2 linked regions of the Saccharomyces cerevisiae S288C genome follow. The gene in region 1 interacts genetically with each later gene. Each region holds a gene or a part of one and is shown in the gene's direction. Other genes may lie near its edges. The genes, in order: PIB2 and SEC31.

Region 1 (4,323 bases):
TTCCACGTGTTGTTATCGACTAAAGTGGTTCTGTCTGCCATGCCACCAATTTGGTAACCGTAATCCCACCACGCTGCAACCTTACTGTCCTCATCAGAGTTCATTCTTAACCAATAGTACGCTTCCCTGAAGTCGTCGATCAACGCCAATTTACCATCTGGGGTTTGTGATGGCAAAACAACAGAAGGAGAAGAGTATGCAGTTCTTGTTACCCAAGTAGAATGGAAGACGAAAAGATACAAATAAAAGATGAATGATCCGGAAACAATCAATTTGGCCAGTAGTGCCGCAGGTTTGATGGCGTATTTGCGGTCACTTGTCTTGAAATCCAGGTAGATGTCAAATATCTTGGACAATGCGACGGCGGCGGACACACAGATGACTGGTGTCAAAGTCAACATCAATCTAACCATAACACCGGCAAAGTACGAACACAGAACGGAGTAAGCGATGACAAAAACGTGCTCGTCTTTCAAGTCGAGGAATAGTAGGAATACACCGGCGGGGAATAGCCAGATCAAAAAGTGGGTATCAAAGAAGAAAGCGGGCCACGAAACGGGTTGATGTTCGGAAACGGAGGCAATGATAGGAATGTGGATCTTTGCGTAGTTGGTATCCCATAACGAATAAAATCTACCAGTCCAAGGGGCAATCAACCCCATATAGGTCAAGGCAGAAAGTCCGACCACACCAAGGACCAAGATCAAAAACAGAGAAACCATCATGATGACTTTAAACTTAGCTGTGCTGATTTGGCCCTTCACGAAGTCACCGAAGGCGACAATCTGAATCAAACCGAAAACACCCAATGCGGCCATGTGGTCGTTAGACCTGATAGGTAGGAAACCGACAAATGGGATCTGCATGGATGCAACAGTTCCAATAGCGTACCAAGTGGTGTAGGCAGAATACAGTTTGGACGAATATCTGCCCATCAAAATCAGCAAAAAGACATGGAGTGGGATCAAGTTGGTGATGAACACGTATCCACCCCAAGCCGACACCATGTAGAAGTAGAATAAAGCTGCACACGTTGCGTGCATGATAGAGCCAGTCTTTTGGGCCTTAATCCAAAACATGAAAGTGACCATTAATAGTGTAATGGCAATGGCCTCATTATCGTAGGACCCCGCCACTGATCTAGATATATAACCGGGGACAATGGCTATAAAACCAGCAGCCAAAAGCCCAGCGCTGGCATCTTTAATCTCTTTCGTAAATTCGTAAGTCGCCCAGGCGGTGACCCCAGAAAATAGTGGCGCAAATAGCACACAAACGTTTCTGATGTCAATGGGCAAGCCCAACCAGTTGCGCAGGGCGTGCCAGATGAACGCACTAGTCGTCATCAAACCAGGATATAAAGTCCCTCCAGTAACCCTTCCGAGGGGGTACCAGGTACGGTCGTCAAACCAGTTCAAAAACTTGTAAAACGAATTGTTGACGAGATATTTGGTAGCCCTATAATTGAACCAGGGGTCGAATTCATGGATAATAGACTCAAATTTGATGACTGCAAACAAACGTGATGATATGGCAGCCCCAAAAATCGCCACGAAGATGACGAGCTTGAGGATGGTCTGAAACACAGACAAAACACACGACCGGTCGGATCCCATGGCAGCTGTGATAATGACGAATGGTAGTTAGGATTTACGGCTGTGAATGCGATTGCGGATGCTATGTCACGTTGAATTAGACCGTGCTTTTGCTGCTTTTCTTTCTTTCAGACTTGCTCTTTTGTTCGTGTCTTATTTTGTCAATTCTCGACCAGCGCGAAAAAGCAACCGTCGATGGTGACCATTTAGCAGAGGCGAAGAGAAGTAAAAGAAAGCTTATGATATGACTATTGAGACCTGGAATAGGTACGAAGCGCCAGTGAGGAGGACTGGGCAGCACAGTTGTAGTGGAGACCAGAATGACTGCGTTGCATAGTGTGTCCAAAACGCCCGCGATCAAGGAAGAGGAGGAGGACGGTGATGAGCGAGACGGCAGAGGAGTTCCCCTGGGACCAAGGAACCATGACTACCGTGGCAGGAAAGGTGATGAGGAAAGCGGTGCTGACACCGTGACATCTCCCATCACGTTTGAAAAGAAGAAGATAGCGCCCAGGGCGTCAACGCATTCCGAACAGAGTATTTTGAGCAGCATCTCATTGAAATCGATGGTAAATCAACATCGTCAGCAGCAGTTGCAGCAAGAGAGCTCAACAGGGGCAGGCACTGGGTTTGTTGACAGAAAGCAGCAGATCCAATCTCCGGCGATGGTGTCCATATTGAGGAAGAACTCTGCTGAGGAGAATGTTCGCAGCAGCCACAGTAGCAAGCTCGGTGAAGGGCAGATAGATGGTAGGAAGGCTTCTGCTAGTAAGGAGATCGGCAAGACGTTGCCATTCACGGATGACCAAAGATCGAACCCTGAACTAGATCCCACCAATAGCGTGGTGGATGTTAGCAGGGGCAAGAATACAAAGAGCAAAACTGTGTTCAATGAGTTAGAAGATGATGCCGATGACGATGACGAGGTTCGACAAAAGAATCTAACCACGCAGGCGTTACGCAAGTTGTCGTCGTTCAAAATGAATGCTAGTTCTAATTTGAGGTTGAGTAAAGAAAACAAGGCGAAAGAGTCTTCATCTTCGTCCACGTCTTCAGTGTCGTCATCGTCGACGTCGAAGGTGGAAAATATTGTCGACAAGCTGACTACAACGAATTCTAGCTCGATGTCCCAACTGCGGTTTGGCAACACGAACGTCATTATTGATTCGGTGAATCATGCGGCGAAACCGCCGCATCAGCAGATGCTAAGGAAACCCTCGCTGGAATTTTTACCGCAGCCTGCTTCGAGCACTAATCTGAATTTTAATTCCAATAAACATAAATCAAATGTAAGACAGATCAGTAACCCTAAAAAACCGCTATACATCCCCGCCGTGCTGAGGAAAGTTTCAGAGACAAACATAACTAATGACGATCTGTTGAATGCAACATTGTCGTCTTACTACAAGAAGGCATCTAACCTGGAACATGGCTTTAATCCAAGCAAGTCGCAATCCGCTAGCGTTCAGAATGCGAACAACCTACGGATCATATCTTCTCAATCCAGCGTACAATCCAACACATCGTCAATCTTGGAAAGCTACAAAAACAAAATATCCTCGTACTTGTTCCCGAATTCTATTCCGAACAGCGACAGAATCAACTTAATACCAACTATTTCAAACAGAAACTCTGCCAGAGTAAACCCGCCCACTAAGGACCACTGGATTCCGGACAGTAAGAGGAATTCTTGTCGTTACTGCCATAAGCCTTTTACCCTGTGGGAAAGGAAACATCATTGCAGGCATTGCGGGGACATCTTTTGTCAAGACCATTTGCGCCATTGGCTGTACCTGGACTCGCAGGCAAATTTTATAATGATCAACGAACTAAACAACGGTGGCATAAATGGCGGTGGCACTCTCTGTAAAATATGCGATGACTGTCTGGTCGAGTACGAGAACCTTTCAACCACGAACCATAACGCAAACACGAACGAGGATAACATAAACGTTGAGGAGGGCGAAGATGACGATAATGACAATAGGAAGAAATTACGCAATTACTACAAGAATAGGCAGATGAACGCTCTTTTCAGACCAAAGAAGGGCGGTTCGTCCCAAGAGCATGCCACGGTTGATCGAGACACAACAACGCCCATCCAGGTGAAGTCGAACGACGAAGAAGCAGATAATGAGAATACGGGGGGAGAACAAGAAGAAGGTAATGATGTTTTGGGCAGTGTTATCGGCTCTGTGCCTGCAAACTGGAATTGGAGTAGTTTCTGATGAACATTTTTTGCGAGACAAGCGAAGAGAGGATGTACACTATTGATGTATGACCATTATGTATACAATAAACTTAATATAATATGATATAATATAATATAATATATAACACTAACACTTTCCTGAGGATTTTCGGTATGGCGCCGAGCGAAATTTTAAAGAGAACAACAGAAACAGTCACCAAGACTTCTTCAATTAGGCAGCGCAAAACGGACACAACAGCAGTAAAGACAACCGGAATGGACTCGATTATACCGGCAGGCGTCAAGCTAGATGATTTACAAGTGATATTGGCTAAGAACGAGAATGAAACCAGGGACAAAGTGTGTAAGCAGATCAACGAAGCACGCGATGAAATTCTGCCGTTGCGATTGCAGTTCAATGAATTCATACAGATAATGGCAAACATAGACCAAGAAGGATCCAAGCAGGCTGACCGTATGGCCAAATACCTACATATCAGAGACAAGATTTTGCAACTGAACGATAGATTCCAGACT
Region 2 (8,420 bases), on another chromosome or scaffold:
TGTTTGCGCTGGGCTGGTGGTAGCCGTTGAATTAATGATTGCACGTAACTCTGCAGTAGCTTGATGGTATTATTTTTTCTTTCTAAATGCAAGTGGGTAGTTCGGCTCCTCTCATCGGCCATTTTCTTATGCAACCTTAGATCTTGCAATTCCTGTTCCTGGATAGCGAACAAATCCTCTGGATTGTTTTCCTCAAAGGGGTCCACCAAAGTCACATTGGTGGGGATTTGTACTTGATTTTGTGTTTCTGTTTCTATTTGCCCCTTTGTTTCTGATTGTTGCGATAGTTCTGCTTGTAATGCTTCGATAGTCTCCCTCTGGTTAGCGATGCTTTTCTTGTAGGATAACATCGTGAGATTGGCTTTGTCGACCAGCTCAGGAATACATTTAAGATAGTCATCCTTTGCTTTAGCCTGCTTCTTCAAGTGCTCCAGTGATTTGGTTGCTTGTAGCAGTTGCATTTTCAAGTTATTCACTTTGATTTCGGAATTTTTTCTCACGTTATTCAGTTCTCGCCTCACTTTGGCCAGCTCTTTTGAGCTTTCTGCATCAAACACCTTGCTGTCTAAACTTAGTTCTAGTCCTTCGTAGTATTTTTCATGGAACGTGTGAATCTCATCTAACTTGGTGTTCACCGTGTTCTGGACGTTTTTGTAGTCCTGTAACTTGGCGCAGATTTCCTTCTTGAGATTAACAAGCAAAGTGTATTCATCGTAGTTGCGTTCTTCTTTGCTAGAGGGAAGTCGAACAAGTTCGATTCTCTTTTCAGCAGAGCTCTTGTGCGTTTCCTTTAACGCGTTGTTCTCATCCAGGATACTTTTCATTTTTCCATGTAAACTAGCCATCTTAATTTCATAGCCTATGATCTCGCCGGACAATAACTTGGCGCTAGACACTAAAGCGGCTTCATTTTCTCGGTAATGATTCACTAAAGATTGAAGCTCCTTGACTTTGCTTTTCATCTGCCTTAAAGATGACTTCTTTTGTACTCTTGAGCTGCTGAGGCCCTTCGTCACAGCCGCATATTCCTTGTCCGAGTTGAAAGATGAGCTCGACTCCTGATCACTACCATCTATCACACTGCGAGTGATGGCATCCAAGACACCACGATTTTTTGGCATAAGCACTCAGTCTTGGCCTTTTTCCCTCCTTTCTCCACTGATCGAAGCTGTGTGCAAAAATCGTCCCCGGTGTTTATTTATTTGTCCTATGGATAGATATGTTACTCACGCGTCGCGTCGCTCCTAAAGACATGAAAAGCGCTTTTACATCTTTGCTAATACTAGCATCGCAGAAGATCTTCTCCATTGCTATGCAACATACCTGCCTTGGTAGTTGGTTTCATAATTTACAATATACAAAGTTATATGCCCTCCGAGTCAAGGAAAAGATTGTCTTCCAAAAAAGGTGCAACTGTGCGTTTAGAATTGGTGGAGAATTATGTGATATGCTTCTTCACCGTCCTCTGCTTCTGCCTAATACCACACTCATCAATTGACTGGAGATCTGGCCTATCTTGCTACTACTTCATAGATTTTTTTTTTTTTCATCTATCCCCTTCCATCCCCTTCTGGTTCTACCCCTTCAGCGTGAAAAATCACCATACACGATCAATCCGCCCGAGAACGAAAAGTGAAAAGAACAAACAAGTCGTGTCAGATCCATTCCTCTATTCCTGTAGTCGGGTTGCATTCTGAATTTACACGTCACGAACCAGCACTATTTCGCTACTGTAGGTGTAGAACATTAGGACAAGGCAAGCTTCTGCGATAGACACTTTACTCACACATATTTCCCTTTGTTCCCGTTTGCTCTCCCTAATTGAACAATAAAGATGGTCAAACTTGCTGAGTTTTCTCGAACAGCCACGTTTGCGTGGTCACATGATAAAATTCCATTATTGGTCTCTGGTACCGTATCTGGTACGGTGGATGCTAATTTCTCCACTGATTCATCTCTAGAATTGTGGTCATTGTTGGCTGCTGATTCGGAGAAGCCTATTGCTTCCTTGCAAGTGGATTCCAAATTCAATGATTTGGATTGGTCTCATAATAACAAGATTATTGCTGGTGCTCTGGATAACGGTAGTTTGGAATTGTACTCCACCAATGAAGCAAACAACGCTATCAACTCCATGGCCAGATTTAGCAACCATTCTTCCTCTGTGAAGACGGTAAAGTTTAACGCAAAGCAAGACAACGTTCTTGCTTCGGGTGGTAACAACGGTGAAATTTTTATTTGGGACATGAATAAATGCACTGAATCGCCCTCCAATTATACTCCATTGACACCGGGTCAATCGATGTCGTCCGTTGACGAGGTCATTTCCCTAGCATGGAACCAATCTTTGGCCCATGTTTTTGCATCTGCCGGGTCGTCTAATTTCGCATCTATTTGGGATTTGAAGGCTAAGAAGGAAGTCATTCATCTAAGTTACACTTCACCTAATTCAGGTATCAAGCAACAGCTGTCCGTTGTTGAATGGCACCCAAAAAACTCCACAAGAGTGGCAACGGCTACTGGTAGCGATAATGATCCATCTATCCTGATCTGGGATTTAAGAAACGCCAACACACCATTGCAGACTTTAAATCAAGGCCATCAAAAGGGTATTTTGTCATTAGATTGGTGTCATCAGGACGAACATCTATTATTGTCCAGTGGTAGAGATAATACCGTTCTTCTATGGAACCCTGAGTCAGCCGAACAACTGTCCCAATTCCCAGCTCGTGGAAACTGGTGTTTTAAGACCAAATTTGCACCAGAGGCTCCAGACCTATTTGCTTGTGCCTCCTTTGATAACAAAATTGAGGTACAGACTTTGCAAAATCTCACAAACACTTTGGATGAGCAAGAAACCGAAACTAAGCAGCAAGAATCTGAAACAGATTTTTGGAATAATGTTTCCCGAGAGGAATCAAAAGAGAAGCCAACTGTTTTCCATTTACAAGCCCCAACTTGGTATGGGGAACCATCTCCCGCAGCTCATTGGGCTTTCGGTGGTAAATTGGTTCAAATTACTCCAGATGGTAAAGGTGTATCTATAACAAACCCAAAAATTTCAGGCTTAGAATCAAACACTACTTTGAGTGAAGCGTTGAAAACTAAGGATTTCAAACCATTAATAAATCAAAGACTGGTCAAAGTTATTGATGACGTTAATGAAGAAGATTGGAATTTATTGGAAAAGTTATCAATGGACGGTACTGAGGAGTTCTTGAAAGAGGCTCTTGCATTCGACAACGATGAATCAGATGCACAAGACGATGCCAACAATGAGAAAGAAGACGATGGGGAAGAATTCTTTCAACAAATTGAAACCAATTTCCAACCCGAGGGCGATTTCTCCTTGTCTGGTAATATCGAACAAACTATTTCCAAGAACTTGGTTTCTGGCAACATTAAGAGCGCTGTGAAAAATTCTCTAGAGAATGACTTACTAATGGAGGCCATGGTGATCGCATTAGATTCAAATAACGAAAGATTAAAGGAAAGTGTCAAGAATGCCTATTTTGCGAAGTATGGATCTAAATCATCGCTCTCGAGGATACTATACTCCATTTCTAAGAGGGAAGTAGATGATTTGGTTGAAAATTTGGATGTCTCTCAGTGGAAGTTTATCTCTAAAGCAATTCAAAACTTATATCCAAATGATATCGCCCAGAGGAATGAAATGTTGATTAAATTGGGAGACAGGTTAAAGGAAAATGGTCATAGACAAGATTCTTTGACTTTGTACTTGGCTGCCGGATCATTAGATAAGGTGGCTTCAATTTGGTTATCAGAATTTCCAGATTTGGAGGATAAATTGAAGAAAGATAATAAGACAATTTATGAAGCTCATTCCGAATGTCTAACTGAGTTCATTGAAAGATTCACCGTATTTTCCAACTTCATTAATGGAAGCTCTACCATTAATAATGAGCAATTAATTGCCAAATTTTTGGAATTTATCAACTTAACTACTTCCACAGGAAATTTCGAACTAGCCACTGAATTCTTAAATAGTTTACCAAGTGACAATGAAGAGGTTAAAACAGAAAAGGCACGTGTCTTGATTGCTTCCGGCAAATCATTACCGGCACAAAATCCTGCGACAGCGACGACCAGCAAAGCCAAGTATACAAACGCCAAGACAAATAAGAACGTTCCTGTACTACCAACTCCTGGAATGCCTTCTACTACTTCTATTCCTAGTATGCAGGCACCATTTTATGGTATGACACCAGGCGCCTCTGCAAATGCTCTACCTCCAAAGCCGTACGTTCCAGCAACCACCACTAGTGCTCCTGTTCATACAGAAGGTAAATATGCGCCACCAAGCCAACCTTCGATGGCGTCACCTTTTGTTAACAAAACAAATAGCTCGACCAGATTGAATTCTTTTGCTCCTCCGCCTAACCCATATGCCACTGCAACAGTTCCTGCAACGAACGTATCTACAACGTCGATTCCGCAAAACACTTTTGCTCCTATACAACCTGGTATGCCTATTATGGGCGACTATAATGCTCAATCTAGCTCTATTCCTTCACAACCTCCAATTAATGCTGTATCGGGTCAAACGCCACATCTCAACCGTAAAGCCAATGATGGTTGGAATGATTTGCCTTTGAAGGTCAAAGAAAAACCATCTCGTGCCAAGGCTGTATCTGTTGCCCCTCCAAATATCCTATCGACACCAACTCCATTAAATGGTATCCCTGCAAATGCTGCTAGTACCATGCCTCCGCCACCTCTTTCCAGAGCTCCCTCTTCTGTGTCAATGGTATCACCACCTCCTCTACACAAAAATTCTAGAGTCCCATCCTTGGTTGCAACTTCTGAGTCACCAAGGGCATCCATATCAAATCCATACGCTCCTCCTCAATCATCACAACAATTCCCAATAGGTACTATTTCTACAGCAAACCAAACGTCAAACACCGCTCAGGTAGCTTCATCGAACCCCTATGCTCCACCACCACAACAAAGAGTAGCAACCCCATTATCTGGAGGCGTGCCTCCAGCTCCGTTGCCAAAGGCCTCTAATCCATATGCTCCAACTGCAACCACTCAACCCAACGGTTCCTCCTATCCTCCAACCGGTCCGTATACTAATAACCATACCATGACCTCTCCTCCTCCCGTTTTTAACAAACCTCCCACTGGCCCCCCTCCGATTAGCATGAAGAAGAGAAGCAACAAGTTAGCTAGTATAGAACAAAACCCATCTCAAGGTGCTACTTATCCTCCAACCCTTTCCAGCTCGGCCTCTCCATTGCAGCCTTCTCAACCGCCAACTTTGGCTTCTCAGGTTAATACCTCCGCTGAGAATGTCAGTCATGAAATTCCAGCTGATCAACAACCCATTGTCGACTTCTTGAAAGAAGAACTGGCTCGCGTAACACCATTGACCCCAAAGGAGTACTCCAAACAATTAAAGGATTGTGATAAACGATTAAAGATTCTTTTCTACCATTTGGAAAAGCAGGATTTATTAACCCAACCAACAATCGATTGTTTACATGACCTCGTCGCATTAATGAAGGAAAAGAAATACAAAGAAGCTATGGTCATCCATGCTAATATCGCTACAAACCATGCTCAAGAGGGTGGTAACTGGCTGACAGGAGTGAAGAGGTTGATTGGCATAGCTGAAGCGACTTTGAATTAATTCAGTCTCAAAACTTTCAGTACAAAAAGTGGCGTATTGGCCTTGTTTTTTTCTTATTATGTCTTATAGTATTATATTTATATATTTATGTACTTATCCTTTTATGTTTAAACCTAATCAAGATCACAATTAGAACTAGCTTAACATTACTTCTCAAAACCAACCAATACCTCTTATATCTTTTTTACAGCCTTTCCCTTATGTTTTTACCATGTACACCTCGAGCGGCAAATCTCCGGGGAAATTTTAAACTTGCCGCATCGCACATTCTAAAGAACAAAAGGAGGAGGAACTGTCAATTATTCTATAATCTGGGGAAATTCAGTCATACTGAGAAAAACTAGACAATAGTCCTATCCTCGGCAAATTGCATTGATAGTACTTACACATCGAGAGATCATAGGACAGATAAGAAGCATTTTATTGAAGAAAAACAGAGAGAGTCACTATAAGTTGACCTCACTATAGAAATTAAAACAGAAAAGTTTTACTGAGGACCTTTTTAAACAGAAGGATATGCCTTTGTTGGCATAGAAAGAAGAATTTATAAATGGATCCTAATAGTAACAGTTCTAGCGAAACATTACGCCAAGAGAAACAGGGTTTCCTAGACAAAGCTCTTCAGAGGGTGAAGGGCATAGCACTGCGACGAAACAATAGTAACAAAGATCATACAACAGATGATACGACAGGTAGCATACGAACCCCTACGAGCTTGCAGCGGCAAAATTCTGACAGGCAATCTAATATGACATCCGTGTTTACGGATGACATTTCTACCATAGACGACAACTCAATTTTATTTTCAGAGCCTCCTCAGAAACAATCTATGATGATGTCTATATGCGTAGGTGTTTTTGTTGCAGTTGGCGGATTTTTATTTGGTTATGATACAGGTCTGATCAACAGTATTACATCTATGAACTATGTGAAGTCACACGTAGCACCTAATCACGATTCATTTACCGCCCAACAAATGTCCATTTTGGTGTCATTTTTGTCATTGGGAACTTTTTTTGGGGCTTTAACTGCACCATTTATATCTGATTCGTATGGCAGGAAGCCTACTATCATTTTCAGTACAATTTTCATCTTCTCTATCGGAAATTCTTTACAGGTAGGTGCTGGAGGAATCACATTATTGATTGTGGGAAGGGTCATTTCAGGTATCGGTATAGGCGCAATTTCAGCGGTTGTTCCATTATACCAAGCAGAAGCTACACATAAATCATTAAGAGGTGCTATTATTTCTACTTACCAATGGGCCATTACCTGGGGCTTGCTCGTGTCAAGTGCAGTGTCGCAAGGGACACACGCAAGAAACGACGCATCTTCGTATCGGATTCCCATAGGGTTGCAATATGTCTGGTCGTCATTTCTCGCTATCGGGATGTTCTTTCTCCCTGAGAGTCCACGCTATTACGTTTTGAAAGACAAGCTAGATGAAGCAGCTAAATCTTTATCGTTTTTAAGAGGTGTACCAGTCCATGATTCTGGGTTACTGGAAGAACTAGTTGAAATAAAGGCAACATATGATTACGAGGCATCTTTTGGTTCTTCGAACTTCATTGATTGTTTTATTTCAAGTAAAAGTAGACCAAAGCAAACTCTAAGGATGTTTACGGGAATTGCCCTTCAAGCATTTCAACAATTTTCAGGTATCAACTTTATATTTTACTACGGTGTCAATTTCTTCAATAAGACAGGAGTCAGTAATAGTTATCTGGTTTCATTTATAACCTATGCTGTTAATGTTGTCTTTAATGTTCCTGGTTTGTTTTTTGTGGAATTTTTTGGTAGACGTAAGGTGCTGGTTGTTGGGGGTGTTATCATGACTATAGCCAACTTTATTGTGGCCATTGTTGGGTGTTCCTTAAAGACTGTAGCGGCCGCAAAAGTTATGATAGCATTTATATGTCTATTCATAGCTGCCTTTTCTGCTACATGGGGTGGTGTTGTTTGGGTTATTTCAGCAGAACTGTACCCATTGGGTGTGAGATCTAAATGTACGGCTATATGCGCTGCTGCTAACTGGCTTGTAAACTTTATTTGTGCTTTAATTACCCCTTATATTGTAGATACTGGGTCGCATACATCATCATTAGGTGCAAAAATATTCTTCATTTGGGGCTCCTTAAATGCGATGGGGGTGATAGTTGTTTACTTGACCGTTTATGAAACGAAGGGTTTGACATTAGAAGAGATTGATGAATTATATATTAAGTCATCCACTGGTGTCGTGTCACCAAAATTTAATAAAGATATTAGGGAACGCGCACTTAAATTCCAATACGATCCTTTGCAAAGATTAGAAGACGGAAAGAACACTTTTGTTGCTAAAAGAAATAATTTTGACGATGAAACACCAAGAAATGATTTTCGAAATACGATATCGGGCGAAATAGATCATAGTCCCAATCAAAAAGAAGTTCATTCTATCCCAGAACGTGTTGATATTCCTACTAGTACAGAAATTCTTGAAAGCCCGAACAAAAGTAGTGGTATGACAGTCCCTGTGTCACCTTCTCTGCAAGACGTTCCAATCCCGCAAACAACAGAGCCTGCTGAAATTCGAACCAAATATGTGGACCTAGGAAATGGGCTTGGTCTTAATACGTATAATAGAGGGCCTCCCTCACTCTCAAGCGACTCAAGCGAAGATTACACAGAAGATGAAATAGGCGGGCCCTCATCTCAAGGCGACCAAAGTAATAGAAGTACTATGAATGATATTAATGATTATATGGCACGTCTCATTCACAGT

What was found.
Region 2: of PIB2 (region 1) and SEC31, a mutation in one rescues a mutant of the other (synthetic rescue), as found in Saccharomyces cerevisiae (one study listed by BioGRID).

Annotation. Positions count from the first base shown.
Region 1 is NC_001139.9:449,697-454,019, reverse strand, and holds PIB2 (Pib2p), read left to right. Parts: upstream 1-1,915; coding exon 1,916-3,823; downstream 3,824-4,323. Other genes in the region: dolichyl-diphosphooligosaccharide--protein glycosyltransferase subunit STT3, read right to left, coding at 1-1,616; PGD1 (Pgd1p), read left to right, coding at 4,063-4,323. UniProt on the Saccharomyces cerevisiae protein: Functions as an intracellular glutamine sensor that directly activates the TORC1 signaling pathway, to promote cell growth when glutamine is available. May play a role in repressing NPR1 activity independently of TORC1 signaling.
Region 2 is NC_001136.10:105,374-113,793, forward strand, and holds SEC31 (Sec31p), read left to right. Parts: upstream 1-1,834; coding exon 1,835-5,656; downstream 5,657-8,420. Other genes in the region: ASF2 (Asf2p), read right to left, coding at 1-1,121; SNF3 (glucose sensor), read left to right, coding at 6,207-8,420. UniProt on the Saccharomyces cerevisiae protein: Component of the coat protein complex II (COPII) which promotes the formation of transport vesicles from the endoplasmic reticulum (ER).